Linked DNA regions of Neurospora crassa OR74A. The protein of the gene in region 1 purifies or fractionates together with the protein of each later gene. This does not show direct contact. Links are inferred from orthologs where the notes say so. Each region holds a gene or a part of one and is shown on either strand. Other genes may lie near its edges.

Region 1 (16,552 bases):
TCGGTCAACTACTCTCTCCACCTCAGAGTTCTGCCTGATCTCTTGACCGTCACCTTTCTTCTACGTCAACGTTCCCCGTCATGTGGAGGGGTAAAACGTGCAAGACGCCTGCCTGCGTGTGTCGGGTGTTTGTCAAAGTGGTGAGACGAAGGATCCCGTCCCGTCACGTTGCAAGGTACTTACCTAGGTAGCGCAATGCTCCGCTACAGTAACCAAGTGGAAAGGCGCTGAAGGAGCCCCCCGTCGCACCTGGACTGCCCTGCTGGAAAATGGGGTTTTGTCATTTTAGGTTGGGGTGCTTGGACATGCAGGCATGGACGGCCCTTAACGAATTACAGAAGCTATACCCGACAGGGTTAGCAATCCCGGGTCCTGGAACTGCTAGATCCAGCCGACGGGAGCCAGCCACGAGATAGGTGGATGGAGACGATGGATCATTGGATGTCTCTGGTAGAGAGAGGTACCTCTACCGGCCCAGGTTAGGTGCCCCTCTCCGATCATGCTGCTAGCAGCTGACAGCGGGCGTCACTGTAGGTAGAGGTAGGTAGCGTTTGGTGATTTCCCGTCCCTTGTAGCGTTCGCAGGGGCACGGCAGCTACCTGGGTTCCATCTCCTCCCGTTTCTGTCGCGTCGACGCGGGAATCTTAGCGTAGTAGTGGTGGGCAACGTGCTGCAATCCAATGTGGGGAACTACCGGGCGTGCTCTGCTGACGTCCTTCCATATGTTTACCGATGTTCCCTCCGCTTTTGTCCCAATTGCAACAATTTCCGCCTGGAGGTCTCGCGCCTCGTTAATGCCACCACCATGCCCAGGTACGCGTCCCTCATCCCAGCACCCAACATATCGTGACTAACCGGCAAACAGAGAAATAATAACCATCCAGGCCGGCCAGTGCGGCAACAGCAGTGAGTGCCCAATTCAACCCGACGAGGAGGCAGTCGACCTTCACCCAGTCTTGCGCCTCGACATCCGGCAGCTGGACGCGCAGTTTCTGCTAACATTCTCAAGTCGGAAGCCAGTTCTGGCAGCAGCTTTGTCTGGAGCATGGCATCAGCCAGGACGGAACCATCGAGGACTTTGCGACCGAAGGCGGCGACCGTAAAGATGTCTTCTTTTACCAGAGCGACGATACGCGATACATTCCCCGGTCCATCCTGATCGATCTCGAACCCAGAGTCATCAATACCATCCAGACCGGACCATACCGGAACATATACAACCCAGAAAACTTCTACGTGGGCAAGAGCGGACTTGGTGCGGGTAACAACTGGGGTGATGGTTACCAAACAGGCGAGCAGGTACATGAGGAGATCATGGAGATGATTGAGCGCGAAGCCGACGGCAGCGACTCCCTCGAGGGCTTCATGATGTTACACTCCATCGCCGGCGGCACAGGATCAGGCCTGGGTTCTTTCCTACTCGAGCGACTGAACGACCGCTTCCCCAAGAAGATCATCCAGACATATTCGGTATTTCCCGACACGACCAGCGCCGGCGATGTTGTCGTGCACCCCTACAACAGTTTACTTGCCATGAGGAGGTTAACGCAAAACGCCGACTCGGTAGTGGTGCTTGACAACGGCGCCTTGTCACACATTGCCGCCGACAGACTACACGTACAAGAGCCATCCTTCCAACAGACGAATCAGCTCGTATCGACCGTCATGTCCGCCAGCACAACCACCCTTCGATACCCCGGCTACATGCACAACGACCTGGTCAGCATTCTCGCGTCCTTGATTCCGACTCCTCGATGCCACTTCTTGATGACGTCGTACACGCCCTTCACTGGCGACCAGGTAGAGCAGGCAAAGACGGTGCGCAAAACGACGGTTCTCGACGTCATGAGACGATTGCTGCAGCCCAAGAATCGCATGGTGTCTACTGTACCCGGCAAGAAGAGCTGCTACATTTCCATCCTGAACGTCATCCAGGGCGACGTGGACCCAACCGATGTGCACAAGAGTCTGCTCCGTATTAGGGAACGTCGTCTTGCTACATTCATTCCTTGGGGTCCCGCTAGCATCCAGGTGGCACTGACCAAGAGGAGTCCCTACGTGACTATGGCACATCGTGTCAGTGGTTTGATGTTGGCAAACCATACTAGTATTGCTACGGTATGTCAACTGCTGCTGTGTTGGCTAGATAGATGATCAAACTGACATTTCTTCACACAGCTCTTCAAGCGTATCGTTAGGCAGTACGATGGCATGCGGAAGCGCAACGCCTTTATGGAAGCCTACAAAAAGACGGCGCCGTTTTCTGAAAACCTCAACGAGTTTGACGAAGCCAGGGAGGTCGTCATGGACCTTATTGCCGATTACGAGGCTGCCGAAGACGCCAATTATCTCAACCCCGAGCTTGGCGAAAACGCGTCGGCTGACACGGACAAGAGAATGGCTTGAGTCTTAGCCGGACAGATGATGGCCAGCTGGGGGCCTTTTGTTTTGCGACTATACCTGGGATCCTTTAAAGACAGCTGGTATCCCTCTTTTTCTCTTCTTTTTTTTTTTTTTCTTAACTAGGCTGACGCGATATCACGACCAGATTGTTGTTCGCAGGCGTTATTGGGCGGGAGGGAAAACCAGGAGAAAGGTGTTGGCGCGCGTTTTCTGTATCGTTTGGCATGTTGTCGATAGATTGCAGCAGCTCTTTGACCACTGAGGCTATGGAAATACCACTTGTCTTCAAACCCCAAAATGCATGCACGCGCGACCTCAGCTTGGGCTTCATAAAGGACCCCAAGGTGATAAGTACTCAACCAACTGACAAGTGGCTGCGTGGTCGAGCGGCGTGGTGCGCTGAGCTCTCTTTGCACAAGGAGGGTAGTGCACCACATGCTGGGGGGGGGGCCCTCGCCGCCGTAGGTGACCCAACGGGGACCTAAATGGCGGGGGAGAACCTCCCTGGAAGCACTGTAAGCTGGCGTCTTCCGGCTATGCAAAATAGGGCTCTTCTACTCCCTTCCAGTTGAACGTGACGTCAGCCGTTCGATTCCAGCTCTTGTCCTCTCTCTTTTTTTTACTTTTTTTTTTTTACTTTTTCTGTTTCTTGGTTGTGTTTCATTGTCAGTGGGTGCTGCGATCAATATCGTTATGGTCCTCTGCAGGAAGCTATATAGATGCAGATGAAGCTATCACCACATCTTGGCACTCCTTAGCGTATTTAGACAAAATATTGAGACAGGGATGGCATTGACTGCTTTTAGTCTCAATCAGGAACCCAAGGACGGTGATAGGCGTATCTCCCTACCAACACTTCAGGGTGAAGATGACCTCATCAAGATTTGGCAAAATACATCAGATGCACTGCGCTCAATGCAGATTACCGCGAGAATTCGAGATGCACGGATTTCAAACGACATGGTCATCCAGCGCGGGAGGGGAGGAGTAGGAGTCCTTCCCAGAAGTCCCTTGAGCTTCCCTGTTGCTCCAACTTCCCCAGGAAGAAAACATGCCTTGACCAATGGAAAGCTAGCTCTTTTCAATCCTCAAATCCCCAGCCTTATTCGACGCCACAAAGTGGGTCACTTTATGGAGGCAAATGCTCGGGATAACTTGGCTAAGCCGCAGCATCACTGTAACTAACTGAAGTCCCGTCGCTGAGGGGAGTCGGAGGCTCGCTGTGTAACCGCAGACTGGGTGGGACGACGTCGATACTATCATTGCGAGCCCCGTTCCGGACCCTCTTCGCCCTCGCTCCTTTCCCCAGGTACCTAGACCTCGCTCCTTTTGCGACAATTGATATTTTCAACATGATGTCTTCTGTGAGGACAGGCGCCTCGATGGCTCTTAGAGGTGGGTGATGCCTGTGTTTTGTTTTCTGAATGCGACGGAGAGTCAGCGCGCGAGTCATTCGACAGCTCCATCACGAAATCCCCACGGCGACGAACTCCAGCTGACGATAAACCAACTATCCACAGCCCGGCCGACTGCCCAAATCGTTCCCTTCCGTGCGGCCGCTGTCGCTTCCATCTCCTCGTCCTCCCGCAAGGACGCCACGGGTGCCGTCGCCCCGGCGGGCGCACAGCACGGCATCGCCAGGCGCGAGCGCAGAGAGGTTCCTCTTCCCAGCCAGGAGGGCACCAAGGGCGCCGTTCAATATGCTCTGTACGTTACACGTTCCGAGGGCTCCACGAACTCCACATCCGCTCTTGACATCCGGACAAGGATATATCCCCTATGCCCTCTCCACAACAACACAAGCAACAAGGACATGCCACTAACACACATTCAAATATAGCACAACCCTCGACAGCATCGTCAACTGGGCCCGCCAATCCTCTCTCTGGCCCATGACCTTCGGCCTCGCCTGCTGTGCCGTCGAGATGATGCACCTCTCAACCCCGCGGTACGATCAAGATCGTTTGGGCATCATCTTCCGTGCCTCGCCCCGCCAGTCGGACGTCATGATTGTGGCGGGCACCCTGACCAACAAGATGGCGCCCGCCCTGCGCCAGGTGTACGACCAGATGCCCGATCCGCGTTGGGTCATCAGCATGGGCTCGTGCGCCAACGGCGGCGGCTACTACCACTACTCGTACAGCGTCGTGCGCGGCTGCGACCGGATTGTCCCTGTTGACATCTACGTCCCGGGGTGCCCGCCTACTAGTGAAGCGCTCATGTATGGCATTTTCCAGTTGCAGAGGAAGATGCGGAATACGAAGATTACGAGGATGTGGTATCGCAAGTAGAGAGCGTTACTACTGCTTGGCACTTGCTTGTCGTGGTCATGGGAGGGGGGTTAGACTTTGGGGTGAGTGGTAGCGCCAAGAAAGGATCGATGAAAGAAGAAGATTGAGTGGTGGTAAAAACCGGAAAGACAGCACGGTTAGATTTCATGGACGAACGGAAGAGCTCGAGAACAACGGCTCACAAGAAGGAACTTCAGTGGAAATTAGACAAGATGTATTATGCTCAGAGTTTGCGTCTTGCTTTTTCTCCCTTATCCGTTCAAAGCTCATCATGAGCTGGAAAAGTGTCGGCCAGTTGTACTTTGTTTTGCTTCAAGACGTGTGACTGTGTACTTTTGCTGTATATGCTCGAGTCAGTTGGCAAGTGAGACGAGGGCCAGAAAACGACCCATTGTTCGACTGTAAAGTCCTCATAAGAGACTCAAGTAGCCAATCCTTGCTATGAAAACAAGGAGAGATTTTCGAAACACATATGTCCTTGGCCCTCCCAAACAAGTCATCGTGATCGAGAGGGGACTGCAAATGGTCTGTCGTATATGGGTATGTATTCACATCTCCGGACCGTCTTCGAGAAGTCAATGGCTCACGAGCTGTTCCCCAGAACTAGTATATCTATGTGATTACCCCTTCAATTTTGGGTACATGCTCATAAATCCAAAAATGAACAAACTATATCAAGAAGCCAGTGGTGGATTGCAGAGGTGGACGCGGATGATGGATGTAGAATGATACCAAACATAGTCTGGACAGTTCGTCTGGCACTAGGTCTTATTAGGGCGGACGAAGAAGACGGTTTCAAACAGAATAAGAGGTAGTGTACAACATGCTTAACTGTCTCTTCATGGTCTCTTCAGCCTCGGGTTATCCCCTTTTCACTTCTCTCTTCACTTCTCTCTTCACTTCTCTCTTCACTTCTCTCTTCACTTCTCTCTTCACTTCTCTCTTCACTTCTTCTTAATCAACCAAAACCTGAGGTCCGGGGTACAGATAGCCTTGAACAAGGTAGAGGGAACTTTTTCCTTTTTCCTTTTTTTTTGTTTCTTTTTTTTTCCTTTTATTTTTTTTCTTTCTTTTCTTTTCTTTTTTTTTTTTTTTTTTTTTTTTTTTTTTTTTTTTTTTTTTTTTTTTTTTTTTTTTTGATAAAGGGCAAGCTAGTAGTAGGGGTAGGCAATCCCAAATACTAATAAGATGTAATGAAAATGGAGAGTTACCAATTTGGCTGAGGGTGGATAGCTAGACTGATTTTGCATTTTTTCACTTTGTAGACCTGTGGAGGTAGAGGTAGGTACCAAGTTATGAGTCGCTATGATCTGGGCTGAATTGGAGGAAAGATCACACGGAGAATAGTGACGGGTAACAGAAGGAAAGCATGAGGGGAAACAGAGCAATGAGGTTGGAGAGGGCCAGGATTAGTTGTTGTACTGACTCCATAATATTAGGCACACAAGAATCATCTTCGACAATGTTGAACGTGAACAGTTGAGCATTGTATACCGGCTGACGGCCGATGAAAAACAAACTCATGCATAGTTTTTGAACTCCCAATTATGTACCTATTCCATACAAAAGAAAAAGACCTTTACAGATCGCCCTTAGCCAAGACTGCCCACCCGTCCAACCCATCAGGGTATCATCCATCTTCTTCCTACGTCTATCCCTCGTCTAACAACCCGACCTTTAAAGCTTGAAGGCACCACTCGACGTAGGACCCTTCTGCTCCGCGATCTTCTTGCCATCCAACCCAACCGTCTCACCCTTCCGGTTAATAACCTTGACACCGCCCTTCTTGAGCTGGCTCATCGTCTCCTTGCGTTCCTGGGCACCCTTGCTGATGTTCTTGTTCGCATCCAGGCCGCCGGCCTTGCGGATGCGCTCCTTCTCGCGTCTGCGTCTCCTAGCCTTCTCCTCGCGGCTCATCTCCTCCTTGGCAATCGGCAGGCCGCTCTTGGCCACGACCTCGCCCTTCTCGACTGAGTCCTTGCCGGGGGCGTACACCTCCTGGGGCGCGAGCGTGCTCTCGCCACCCGACACACCCTGGGCCGTGGTGGGCATGGCGTCCTCCATGGCGACGGTGGCGACGTCGGTGACAACGCTGATGGTGGGTGCGGCGGGTTTAGGCTTGTAGTGCCAGCTGCTGAGGGCGTCGAGCTTGGCGCAGATGTCCTTCCACATGTTCTTGATCTCGGCCTCGTCGCGCGTGAGCTTCTCGTCCGAAGCGCTGACGTACTCGTCCGGGTTGGCCTTCTTGATGTGCTCCTCCTCGTAGATCTCGGCGAGAGACTGCTTGCCCTTGGTGTCGTCGATCTCAACGAGACCGCGGCGCGCGTTGTTGGGGTTATTGAGGGTGTCAGGACGTCTCCTGAGAACCTCGTCGAACTCGTTGGCAAGAATGCGGCGTTTGATGAGCGCCTCAATCGTCTCGGAAACCTCCTCGGTAATGACGGGGACAGGCTTTCCGACATGCTCAAACTCGAGGTCTTCCTCCAGGAGCGAGTTCATGGGACGAGCTTGCGCGGAAGCCTCACCGGACAGAGTCCAGGCGCGCTTGGCAACTAGCTCAGACTCGAGCCTGCGGATCTCCTCGGCAATCTTGGCTTGTCTGCGCTCGTGGGCGGACCGGCGAGATCTCGGATCACCAGCATCAAGATCCGAGAGCTTATCTTCATCTTCATTCTCCGAGATGTCGTCGAAGAGATCGCGGCGCACATCATTCTCGGCTCTCTCCATATCGGCCTCATCTGGCTGCTCAAGTTTCTTGGGGAAATAGCCTCCTTTCCTTTGGTTGCCGGTCTTCTTCTTTTGAGGTGGCGCGAAGAAGTCCTTGTAGTAAATGTCGTTGGCGGTAAGGTCCATGTCCATACCGAGAACACCATCTGTAAGGCCGAGATCGTCGCCATCGTCCTCGAGCTGCTCCACGTTCTTCTTGCCCTTGAGTTTCTTGGCGTGGGCGGCGGCAGCAGCCTCGAGGGCCTCGTCGTCTTCGGATTCATCGCCCATGTCGACGTCGTCCTCATCCTGGTCTTCGTCCTTCTTCTTGTCGCTCTTGCCCTTCTTTGATTTTGGCTTTGTCGCGAAAGGATCGGCGTGCCAGTCTAGCTGTTCGTCGTCGCTGTCGGCATCGACGTTGGGGTCCGCACGGGCATCCGCGTCCTCCCACAACTGTGTCTGCCGGTTGAAGTCGTCTATTGAGAAGAAGCCGTCGTTGAGGCCGTTGGGATCCTCGACAAGTTCTGGCGCATCCTCTTCCTCTTCTTCTTCTTCTTCTTCTTCTTCTTCTTCCTCCTCCTCCTCATCAAACTCTCCTTCTCCATCTTCGTCCGAGAATTCAACCTCTTCGCCATCGATCTCGATTTCTTCATCGTCGTCGATCTGGCTGCCCTCTTCTCCTTCTAATTCTTCTTCGTCATCCTCCTCATCCTCTTCTCCTTCAGAGCCAGAACCAGATTCGCTATCAGCATCCTCCTCATCGTCCTCCTCCTCCTCATCAGAACCAAGCTCAAACCCATCCTCTCCAAACTCAATGGTCTTCTCTTGTTCCTCGCCGGTGCCCACAATCCCGTTCTCCTCCAGCTCCTTCAGCACATCGCCAGCCTCCTTTGTGGCGCTGGCAATGATCTTCTTGGCCTGCTGCCAAATCTGCTCCGTCTCGAAGCCGTCGTCGACGTGCAGCTTGCGAATCTTGAGCACGGCATTCTTGTCATAGCCAGCCTCACGCTTGCGCTTCTTTCCACCGATGGTGGCCGCGATCTCTTTCAGCTTTGCCTGCTGGTGGTCACTGACCTGCGAGGCGAGCGCGTCGAGGGTCTCCTTGGCGAGCAGGAGGGATCCGGCGGGAAGGGTCGAGGGCGGCTGCAGGAAGACGTGGCGGTTGGACTCGTCGGCCAGGGCCGAGAGGAAGGAGGCGACGACGGGGTTGTTGGCAATTGTCGAAGGAGAGGTGCTGCCGCTCGACGATGCGGCGAGGGTAGCGGCCATGACGCTGTTGTGTGTGGAGGGGTCGTGGGTGATTGTTTGGGATGTCGAGGTTACGGAAGAGGTTATGCTGCCAGCTGCCATGTCTGTTTTTTAGGTAGGGTTGGACTAATGCTGTAAGAAGATCAATCAAGGCTAGGGTATCGAGGCTGGCCTTGTCATACAAGTGTCTGACTTGAGGGTTCAATATGGACGCTTGACTAAGAAATGGCAGGGCGTCGGTGTTTGCCGTTGCCCGTACCAAAACAAAAAAAAGTTCGACCTGACGATGTTTGGTTGCCAGCCGGCGATATTGATGGACCAAAATTTTTTCTGCCATAGCGCTCTCCAAGGTCCAGGAAACGGCGAAGCGTGGAGGCAGGCGTCCCCGCACCAGCTTATGGGGCTGGCTGTGAATTGACCAATGATGGGTGATTCTGCTCTCTGGAAATGGAAGTAGGTCCCACTTCTCTTGTTGTTAAGCTTCAGGGCGGTGCACCGCTATAAGACGAGGTTGCCTTAACACTTATAATCGGATGACAATGTCAAGTAAACAAACCACAAAGTGCATGCAGTCTCAAAGGAGATGCTCGACATCAAGCTTGAGAGAGGGGATGAATTCACAATGACCTTTTTTTAAATATAGCATACGCTAGCGAGTTACTCTGAAGTTACTGGAAACTCAGTAAGCAATCACGCAACGATCTCCAGTGCTGTTGGATAGGTGAAGTCGCCGTTTCGACACAGGCACCTAGCTTGTTATCAGCACTTCCTTATCTAAAATTCCAGACTACCCTATCAATCCCATCAGCTCGTACATAGTCTATTGTATCTTTCGCCGCTTCACTTTCGTCGTAACTGGAAGTTTCTTGTCAAACGGTAAAAGGTAATTAAATTGTGCAAGAACTGTAAAATGTTAAACCAACGATTAACCCCATTGAGGAAGAGCGCTAGGTTTGCCTCATACTAGCTACATTACAGTATGCTTCTCGTGTTCTTTTCAACATCGTAATGAGATCTCTGCGACAGACGTTGATGGACTATTTTCTGTAGAGGTAGGCTACTTACCCAGCCGGCTCTTCTTCATGGTCTGGATAACGTGCAGAGAAAGCTCTTATTACATAGTAGAAATGTAAGGGTGTTATTTGCGCACCTTCGGGGAAAGATGCTGCAAGTCATAACACTTGTTGAAGTTCCTTCACAAGCCACATCCCTATGCATATGGTATCGCCCGTGAGAATTTTGACGGACCATGAGGTATTCTTTCAAAATACGACAGCAGCGTTGACGTGCTGCATTAGGGTCTGGACCGTCTAAGCCTTCATTGAATGCAACTCGCGGGAGAGTGTCCCGCCGAGCCGAGCTGCGAGTGATACTCAAGACCTTCGTATCCCAGGCCAGGGAATTGTATCATGTTCTTTAGCGGTTGCCGAGGTCAATGTGAGGGCGATGGTGGCTTTGGTGATCCCAGCCTCTATGGTCGTGCGTTGCGTGCTCTCAATATGACCTCTTTTTCATGTTCGCCGGGAAATAACTGTGAACCTCACGGTGAAGATGTTTGCTATGTAACCACTAACTTGCTGTCGTGAACGGCGAGGATCCCATCAAGTGTCAGTGGCCTCCTGTATAGTACGACACATGAACTTGATCGCTAAGTGGCGTTGCTCGGTCCAATCGCATCACACCATCTATCTCTGCTACCTACCTAGAGTAGAATGGCCAAGTTAACGGCAACATTTCCAAAGTCGTACAGGAGGTCGCGAGAGAAGTTTCGGTTGGCTCACACTATGTAACTGCCAATCGCACACTGTTTGGTTACAGAGCTGGAAGATACGTCGAGATGGAGGGACGGGAAATACTTTTGAGTTGCCGGATGTTACCTAATTTGTCAAGCGAAGGAGATCTCCTTGTGAAAATCCGGACGGGCCGATTCATTCTTTTCTATTTTCCATATCCGCCTCCCTTCTGGCAGGCTCTATGTGAGGGTGAGAGGAGAAACTGCATCCCACAACAGGTCTTCACAACACGACTTGTCAAGAGCACCTGTCCGTCGCCCCACCCCATCTATGCTGTTGGGAGCCGTCTTGCAGCTGTACCAGTGGCAACTCGATCGTTTTCTCTTGGTAGGACCACGGTGCAAATGCTTGAGTACCGTACCTACCTAACCTCGGTCGAGACAAAATGAAAGAGACTGCAGCCGGCCCAGACCAGAATCATGACATTTCCTCTCGTTAATTTTACCTCTTTTATTCGTCTTCATGGTCATTTATGGTTCTCAACAAGTGTCTACAGCCTTACAAACTCGTAGGTGTTTTGTCAATATGCCGTTGACATCATGTTCTGGAGACCATGTTTTTCTTTTTGTCCTGGACGAGCCAGTTACGCAACCATAATGGGTGTGTATGGGGAACCTGGTGGAGGACGATCAATCGTTGTTACCCTGGAGGTGGTTTTGGCCGACCCGGATAAAGCGACTGTGCGCGATTCCAAACAGCCTGTGTGGGCCAAGGCACATGTCACCTCCCGGTAACCTAGATTAGTGGTTAGGGTTAGTGGTTAGGGTTAGGCGTTAGGGTTAGTTCCGGGGGTGTAGGGGGCCGGTGAGAGGCCCCTGCGTGTGAATGAAAGTCCAACGCTTTAAAAAAAGGTGGTTTTAAGTTCTTATTATCGTTGTTAAGATAATGACATTTGGTGGTGACTTTGGTGGTGACTTGCGGTCGCGAAAGTTGGCGCGACAGATGCCAAGCTTTGGGTCTTGGCTGAGCTTGGCTGTCGATTTGTATGGGACCCACACAGGCCATATGGAATCGAGCACAGTCGCTTTATCCGGGTCGGGTTTTGGCGTGTTTCTAGACCAATAGCAGCGCCATAGTCAGTGATTCTCTTCCTCGTTTGAAGACGTTGTACGTCTCGCGCTAACAAAACTTTTAGCATGAATTTGTAGATCAATAATAAACGAGTTGGTGATAGCCCAGACTCATCCTCGACAAACGCTCGCTTGTGGATAAGGTAAACACACAGAACACTTGGTCGCGTGCCTTTTAGCCGAACAAAGAAGGGGAGAGATTGCAGGTCTACCATAACCGTTCCCGAGGGTAGCTTCCCGGGCAACGACACGGGCAGCCCCAAGCACGTGCCTGCTTACTGAACTATGACAGGGCCGATGATTCTAGACCAGGGTGGAACTATTAAGGAACCGTGCCAATCAAAAACCATATTCCGGGACGGTAAAGACGGGAGGCCAGGAACTGAAGCAAGTTCCTGAAGATAACCAACAAAAAGAAAACCTCATTGACGGACATGGTTGCAGAGGATGGACACCACAAACTCAGTTGGTTCCATCTCCACTTCTGCTACGTCGTAGTGTAGTGTAAAGAGCCCACAGGAAACCTCGAGGTTCCACCAAAGATTTCCCTGCCCTGGAGGGACCCGGACCGGGCTGCATTGGGTCCTGGCAGAAAGACCCACTTACCCACTGAGAAAGGTCGAGTGGAAGGTGGTTCCTCTCGTTCGCATTGGATGGACAGGACCTTCTTGATTTTGATTCCTTGGCTTTCTCAAAAGCCTGTGACTCCAGCTTACTTAGTTATCAAGTTGTCTCTCTGCTTGTCTCAGATTTGATGGCTCTTCAGATTCACTTCGGCTCGGCCTGTCGTCACATACACTACTACACTTCGTTTCTTCCTTTCTTCTCTGCCATCTTCGTCGTCTTTGTCTCCTTTCACTTTTCTCCCCGCCAGTTCCTTGCAGCCTTCGGTCGACGTTCACACTAAAGACTAAGCGCAAATGACGGCAGTCAACCGTTGGCCAGCCATTCTAGACCACTCTACCAACTAAGTCTAGCGACGCTCCGTCTCCAGCCATCCGAAACGAATCTGAAGTGTTTGTGTTGATCGCTCGGTTGAAACTTCACCGTCTTCTCCAAGCCCACACGGTCCCCCGGTCGTCCTTATCACGACCTCAGACAGTCAACACCCTGGGCTGTCCAGTCCCCATTCCCCCAGACCGTCTCCGCCAGCGATCAAAGCTTTTATCCCACACTTTCGTCATAGCCACAGTGCCGTTGGTGCAAGAGACGCTGGTGCGGGTTCCCGACAGACAGTTGTACACTACCTCTCTTATCTGTGCATATAACCGCTTGCCTCCCTCCAACAACATCGTCATTACAGATTCATTCCGGCCTTTTTTGCACTGCCTTTGGCGTCGACTTGAACCAAAACAAAGGCACAAAGAAGAAGCAGGTTTTTGGAGCGGTACAGACCATCAAAGTCCCAGCAGACCGGTTTATTTCGTACATCGACGCCACCGGGTGTAACCTCTCCCAAGACGGGATTCGACGACGTTGTGAAAGGACATTTCTTGCAATACGTGCATTACAAGTGCCAATCTCTACACCCGTACAACCACCACTACAGCCCACCACATCTACCAGGAATGAAGTTTGGGGAGCAGTTTGACAGGGAGTCTGTCCCCCAATGGCGAATCCGTATGTCTTTCCCCGTCTTGTTCCGCCGGTTTTGCCGATGACTGTGCCACATCTCACCAACGAATGCCTGCTGATCTTTACCTCAACCGAGCAGATAACATCGACTACAACTCGCTAAAACACTACATCAAGGCGCACACCACCAGGTCTCAGGGAACCGCGATTGCCATTCCAGGCCACCAAGCCGCCGCACTCTCAAAGTTTGAAGACGACCTCTACGACGAGCTTTGCCGACAACATGATCGTGTCGATCTGTTTGTATCAAGCAAAGCGGACGAAATAGCGCGCCGTCTTCGTATGTTTACCTCGTCTCGCTGCCACTCTATTCTCCCAACTCCGGCCGCGTATTACTAACATCTTGACACACGTCGCCAGAACACTTGTCCAATCAAATACACGCCCATATTGTCCGATGCGCTGCCTCTACGAGAACGCGCACTTCGACCAAAAGACAGCGCCAATTTGCAAGATACGAACAAGAATTGCTACAATGCGGTGACGAGATCCAGGCCCTCCAACGCTTTGTCAATGCACACACCGTTGCCTTTCGCAAGATTCTAAAGAAGTACCGGAAATGGACGGGCTCGGCGACTCTCGGCTCGCGGTTCAGGGAAACCATCCTGGCGAACCCCAAAAGCTTCACCAAGCGTGACTTCTCCCGGCTTCAATCACAATACGAAAACCTGCTACAGACGATACGCTCTGCCTCGCCGAGAGATTCGAGTCGTAGTGGCAGTTCCTCTCCACCTACCCAGCCCGCCACGCCCACCCGCCCGGCCAGCGCTGGGGAACACCGACTCGTGCCTAACGTGACCATTGTTCCCGAGGATGATGCCCCGACAGGATATTGGAACGAATATGACCACGGCAGCGAAGCCGGCGACGACCGTTGCGATGAATATGCCATCTATATCAACCCGGATGAAGAGATGAAATTCCCTGGTGTAAGCAGCATAATGAACTGGATCTCGTCGCCGATGAAGAAAATCATGGGGCGTGGTCAGGAATCAACACCAGACCAACGCGCAAACGAAAGTACAGAACAGCAGCCTCTACTAGGATCCTCGCAAACCCAGTCGACCGACCGGTACGGCGCGACCCTCGCGCCGCCCAGCTATTTTACATACCCTCCTGGCGTTGCCCCCATCGACACCGACATCGACGATGACAACGTCAGCGATCGCTTCACAAACTCGCCTCCACACAGCTTCAGCCGTGGTCGTTGGCGCGCCGAGAGAAGAGGCTCTTACGGCTATGCGTCTTCTGAGGAGTTTCCGGAGTCGGGCTACCGAAGCCTAGAACAACAACGCATTGCACGCCATCGCGACGAAACGTTGTTTTGGGGCACTTGGGGCTGCTACCTGGTCACGTTTGTGCTGATGGGTATTGCGACAATGTTGATTATGACGGGCCGCCACAAGATGAGAATGGAGGTAGATGCTGGCGTGACAGTCGGGATCGTCACCTCGCTGGGCACGGCAGTCGCTGCGTTGTGCATGTGGAATTCGAGGCACGAGTTTCAAGCACCTTCGATGATAGGAGAGATTGCGGTGTGGGTGACATTTGTAGTGGCGTGCGTCGGCAATGCGATATTGTTGGTCTTGATGGTGGGAAAGGCGCCCTGATGGCTGCCAATGCTTATGCGGTCATGCAGGTGAGAGTATGTTGCCCATGCCAAGGGCCAAAGGGATACGGGAGCCTTGAAGCTCTTGATAACGATTGACAGCAACTCATGTGTTGCACACAGCTCTGTTCAAAGGCCTTGGGTAGCTCAAAGGGCAACATTGAATAGACAGACAGCGGATTGGGGCTACCAGACCCACAACGTCATCTAGCGATAGATCATATTGATGACTGATCCAAAAACAGACAGTACTTACTATACATTCACCTATGACCGCGACTTTTCGATTGAATGGCATTGCCGCCTCATCCTAGAGACACATAATATATACTCAGGGTGTCTGATCTCATGCTTCCCTTTCTTCCCAAGTTCAGATTTCATCTGTCAATGTTCAACTATTTGACCGAGGGACCTTGTGGGGAAAGGAACGGTGCAAGTGTGAATCACCTACCTATTCTCCTCGGTAATTCACCCCATGTCCGGACCCATACCAAACATCCCAATCAGGAAATCGTTCAGGAATACAGCAAGTTTTCGAGAAAGTCGCAAGTTACTCAACATAGCCACCGGAACGCGATCGGCTGTTGTCGTATATAAGAGTGACCCTTCTCCACTTTGAGTTGTGGTGTAAGTACAACCTCCGCGGAGAACCTCATCGCCGAGTTGGAGTATTTATATAAGCATACCGTCACCCCGCACCTCACCTCACAATCATTCACCAACCATAACAACAACACCAAAGACACTTGAAATCAGAATCAACAAGATATACCAATAAACATGCACTTCCCAGGCCACAGCAGCAAGAAGGAGGAATCTGCCCAAGCGGCCCTCACGAAGCTGAACTCCTGGTTCCCCACCACCAAGAACCCCGTCATCATCAGCGCCCCCATGTATCTCATCGCCAACGGCACTCTTGCGGCCGAGGTATCCAAGGCCGGCGGTATTGGTTCGTCTCCCCTTCTCTCATTACCACTCACCCATCTCATCTACAACACCCCCCAGCACTAACACCACCGCGCAACCTTTTCCAGGCTTTGTCGCCGGCGGCTCCGACTTCCGCCCCGGCTCCTCCCACCTAACCGCCCTCTCTACCGAACTCGCCTCCGCCCGCAGCCGCCTCGGTCTTACCGACCGCCCCCTCACCCCTCTCCCCGGCATTGGCGTCGGCCTCATTTTAACCCACACCATCTCCGTTCCCTACGTAACCGACACCGTCCTGCCCATCCTGATCGAACACTCCCCGCAAGCAGTCTGGCTCTTCGCCAACGACCCGGATTTCGAGGCCTCTTCCGAGCCTGGCGCAAAGGGAACAGCAAAGCAAATCATCGAGGCCCTTCACGCTTCGGGGTTCGTGGTATTCTTTCAAGTAGGCACGGTGAAAGATGCAAGGAAGGCGGCGGCAGATGGGGCAGATGTGATTGTTGCGCAAGGGATCGATGCGGGAGGGCATCAGCTTGCTACAGGGAGTGGGATTGTGAGTTTGGTACCGGAGGTTAGGGATATGCTTGATAGAGAGTTCAAGGAACGAGAGGTGGTGGTTGTGGCGGCGGGAGGTGTGGCGGATGGGAGGGGGGTTGTAGGGGCGCTGGGTCTAGGTGAGTTTTCTTTTCTGTGTTCTCTCTGGGGAAGTGAAGTGAAATGGATGAGGATAAGTGGTGGGTGAATATGACGAGATGGGTGACGATGTGCTAACTACCTGGTTAAATTGATTAATAGGCGCCGAGGGTGTGGTATTGGGTACTAGGGTAAGTTCTTCTCCAGATCCCTCCCCCCCCCTTTTCCCCCTCCTTCTGG
Region 2 (3,976 bases), on another chromosome or scaffold:
CCGAGATCGTTGAATCACATTGCTGAGAATGACACAATCATTGTCTCTCGCTGTGTTTGCAGCTGCGGCACTTTTTGCGACTAAGGGTCTTGCGAGCAACTTTACCGTTAGCAATGGCCAGATTTTCACCCCTGGTTTTGTTATCGTCGATTCCCCCCAGCCGGACACGCCTCTTGGCGGAGGTTAGTACTATTAGTACCCGGCTGGCTGTCGGCAAAGGACTTGAGGACTTGCTACTAATAAGCTTCAACTTGTGTAGACAATGTCGAGATTGCGCTCGATGTTTCTGCCAATGGCAAGCTTCCTCTACCGCCCTACGGCGACGACGCTTCCAGCCAAATCTACAACATCAACATCTTCCTTTACAGCTACGTAACGGGCCGAAACTTGACCATCACCAACGGTACTGCGTCGGCCAACAATGCCACACTCGGTGATATCATGCTCTCCGAGCCTGGTAGCACCGTGAAGCATGTCCGGTGGACATGGCCCGACTGCATGGTTGGCGATGGTACGAATGGGAACGATCGTGGCAGTTACAATGTGGGTTTTCCAAATAGTCAGCTTAAGAGTGTGTTGATAGCCATTTCACTGACAATTCAAAAGATCTCCATCCACCAACGCTTCAGACTCAATGGCGAGAACCACTACACGATATTTGATCTTCCCGTCTCTGTGACCAACAGCATCAGCAAAAGCGACGACCGCCCGTCTTGCCAATCACTTGATAACCCGTTACTGGCGCCCGAGGACATCGATTGGACAGACACTAACGAACTCGGCGCCCTCTTTGCTCCTGGTGATTCGACGGTTATTGAGACGTCGAATGTTGGTAGTGGTGCTGGGCTGGCGAGCTGCAAGCATGCACTTAACTTGTTGTGTGTGGTGGGCATTAGCTGTGCTCTGTTGTTAAGCTAGGCTCTAGACTTGCTTGTCGTCCAATAATCAAAAAGGTGGCTGTGAGATGACATAGAATCATCTGCAAGGATACCAAAACACCACGTACTCTTCATGCATATGTTCTTTTTGAAATCATATATTTGCTCTGCGTGGCTCATAATTTTAGTACTAGTTCGTGTCTGGTCAGATTTATTGTCTTCGAATGAGTTCACATAAAGTCATCTTCATCACAAAGATATTGTTAATGAAAGTAGCATTGAGGCATCAGATAAGTTTAATATATGTTTATTTTTTTACTTTTTTTTTTGTAGGGGTACTTCAAACTTATTCCTTGAACAAGGCTGGCGTGCTTGTGATAGCAAGTGGGTCCAGATTAAGTGGGACAGGATCTGCGATCTGCAAGGCTGATAACGAAAAAAAAAGTTCCCAACCTCAAAACAAACCAAACACTAGCGACTGGTCGTGGCATTTCCGTCCATTTCAACTCCATTTAACCAGGACCGGATCTCACAGCAAAAGTTCCCGTTACTGGGCTTTGCGCAATCTCCTAAATCAGAACAAAATGGCGCCACAGACGAAAGACGAAGTTTCCGACGACAACGAATTCGTCGGATTCGACGAGGAGAGCGATGAGGAGATGCACGACAATGATGGCATGTCAGTAGACGACGACGACGAGGACGACTCCGATATGGATTCAATTGCCGACCCGAGGAAAAAGTACGATATTGAAGAGAAGGACTCTGACGAAGAAGACCTCGAACGATTCGTCTTGGGCAATAACGACACCTTCCGCGCCCAGCTTTTCCGCGACGATTTCCTCGCCGATATTACCGATTCCAAGGCTCTCATTAGGACCGACAAGCAAGATGACACGACTGGCCTCGAACATGTCGACGATAACGCCCTCTTCGCGTTCGATACTGGCGTTCCCGGTAATAAGAAGCAGACAGAGGCCGCGCCCTCTGCGCTAGAGGCTTACGAGCAGAAGGAGGACCCCCCAGCGTGGGAGGACAGCGATGACGAGCGGTTGACAGTATCCCTTGCGGCTGCCTCGCGGTTGCGCAAGCTGCGTCAGTCCGAAGAGGAGGATGTCGTGAACGGCACCGAGTACGCGCGCCGCCTGCGCTCGCAGTACCTCCGACTATACCCCCTTCCGGAGTGGGCCAAGGAATCCTCGGCCGCCAGCCAGCGCCGGAGGAGAAGATCTTCAGCCGCCGGTTCCTCCTCCGAGGAAGACAGTGACGCCGAAGACGACATCGAATCCGCCCTCCCTCTCGAGACCTTCCTCCGCGACGTCAACTCTTTCAACGCCAGCGCCGATGCCCGTGGCAGCAAGCGCCGCAAGCTGCGCCCCGAGACCATCGACATTCAGCGCTCGCGCGACATCCCCGACATTCACAAGCAGTCCGTCAGCTCGTTGTCCTTCCACCCCAAGCACCCCATCCTGCTCTCGTGCAGCGTCTCCTCCATCATGTACCTACACCAAGTTGACCCGACCGCGCACCCGGTTCCGAACCCGGCCCTCACGTCGGTGCAAGTCAAGCGCACCGACCTTCGGCGCTCCGAGTTCCTCGGTCCCGATGGCGACGACGTCATCTTCGCCGGTCGCCGGCGCTACTTCCACAGCTGGAACCTCTCGTCGGGTGCCGTCAAGAAGATCACCCAGATCCAGGGCCACCAGCGCGAGCAGCGTACCATGGAGCACTTCCGTCCCTCGCCCTGCGGACGCTACCTGGGGCTCATCGCCTCCGAGAAGAAGGGCGGCGGCATGATCAACATCGTCAACGTGCGCACGATGCAGTGGATTGCGCAGGCGCGCACCAATGGCCGCGGCGGCATCTCCGATTTCGCCTGGTGGGGCAACGGCAACGGCCTCTCCATCCTCGGCAAGAACGGCCAGGTCACTGAGTGGAGCATGCTCAGCCGGCGCACGGTCGGCGTTTGGCGCGACGAAGGATCGATCGGCGGCACGGTGATTGCGCTGGGCGGGCAGAAGGGCACCGGCCCTAGCCAGATTGGTGGCGATCGCTGGGTGGCTGTGGGCTCGAATAGCGGCATTATGAACATTTACGATCGGAATGATTTGGTTGAGCCTGTTAAGAAGGAGGGTGGTGCGTCGGCGTCCAAGGAGGAGACAGTGCAGATTAAGAGCATCCCCACCCCGCAGAGGACGTTTGAGCAGCTCACGACGCCCATCTCAGTGGTGACGTTCGCGCCGGACGGTCAGCTATTGGCGTTTGGTAGCTTCCACAAGAAGGACGCGTTAAGGCTGGTGCACTTGCCTAGCTGCACCGTTTACAGGAACTGGCCTACGGAGCAAACGCCTTTGGGTAGGATCACTGCTGTGGCGTTTAGCCACCAGAATGGTGGTGATGTGTTGGCGGTGGGCAATGATGTGGGCAAGATTAGGATGTGGGAGATTAGGAGCTAGATCTGCGCATTGTGTAGTGCGTTGAGTTGGCGATAAAATAGTGCGGAGTATAAACTAGTGGTAATCTAAGGGTTTGAAGGTTTTGGGCCATGAAATTCTGTCCAGCTCGTCTAAAAGGTTTCAGCAAGTGTCAGCCCTATGGCAACGATATGTATTCCCATGCTTCTCCTTGTACGCATGACATGCATCAAACCACGTCTTCAGAGGCATCAGTATCCCCTCAATCCTCAGGTGCTTCCAGTTTCCGTTTGCTTTACCTCCTTCTCCCTTTGCGACTTCTCCTTTCCCTTCAACTTCGCCTCCTTCTTCTTCCCCAGCCTTTCCTCTCTTTTACTCTGCAACTTTTCCTCCAAATCCGGATCGAAAATGTGCTTGAGCATCGCGTGCTCCGGCTGATCTTCGATGACCTTATTCCTGGGGTAAATCTTGCGATGCCCTATTGAATACTTTGAGAGCGCCTGAGGTGTTGTGAATCGCTGCGGCCTTGACTCCCCCCCGGCCTGAATGATTCTATCGGTTTCAAGGACATCATAGATGTTGACGTGTACGGCTTTAATGGCCTGGTGAGGGCGAAAAGAAATGGGTATCAGTAATGGCCGGTTCCCCGGTAGTGTGGCCTAGAGCGAGAAGGGACCAAAGAAG

What was found.
Region 2: the proteins of NCU03952 (region 1) and NCU03018 purify together in Saccharomyces cerevisiae (affinity purification with western blotting; 3 studies listed by BioGRID, with this or other methods). This does not show direct contact. The link is inferred for Neurospora crassa OR74A from reciprocal best matches to the Saccharomyces cerevisiae genes MPP10 and UTP18.

What each region holds. Positions count from the first base shown.
Region 1 is NC_026506.1:2,214,980-2,231,531, reverse strand, and holds NCU03952 (U3 small nucleolar ribonucleoprotein Mpp10), read right to left. Parts: upstream 9,160-16,552; 5' UTR 8,751-9,159; coding exon 6,372-8,750; 3' UTR 5,919-6,371; downstream 1-5,918. Other genes in the region: tbg (tubulin gamma chain), read left to right, coding at 806-813, 866-906, 1,010-2,118, 2,179-2,406; nuo19.3 (mitochondrial NADH-ubiquinone oxidoreductase 20 kDa subunit), read left to right, coding at 3,756-3,798, 3,924-4,110, 4,244-4,694; NCU03950 (hypothetical protein), read left to right, coding at 13,080-13,131, 13,226-13,426, 13,507-14,756; npd-1 (FMN-dependent 2-nitropropane dioxygenase), read left to right, coding at 15,536-15,704, 15,790-16,353, 16,475-16,503. UniProt on the Saccharomyces cerevisiae protein: Involved in nucleolar processing of pre-18S ribosomal RNA. Required for the early cleavages at sites A0, A1 and A2 during 18S ribosomal pre-RNA processing.
Region 2 is NC_026501.1:8,426,268-8,430,243, forward strand, and holds NCU03018 (small nucleolar ribonucleoprotein complex subunit), read left to right. Parts: upstream 1-1,176; 5' UTR 1,177-1,462; coding exon 1,463-3,334; 3' UTR 3,335-3,512; downstream 3,513-3,976. Other genes in the region: NCU03019 (hypothetical protein), read left to right, coding at 29-182, 260-543, 607-918; NCU03017 (hypothetical protein), read right to left, coding at 3,562-3,951. UniProt on the Saccharomyces cerevisiae protein: Involved in nucleolar processing of pre-18S ribosomal RNA and ribosome assembly.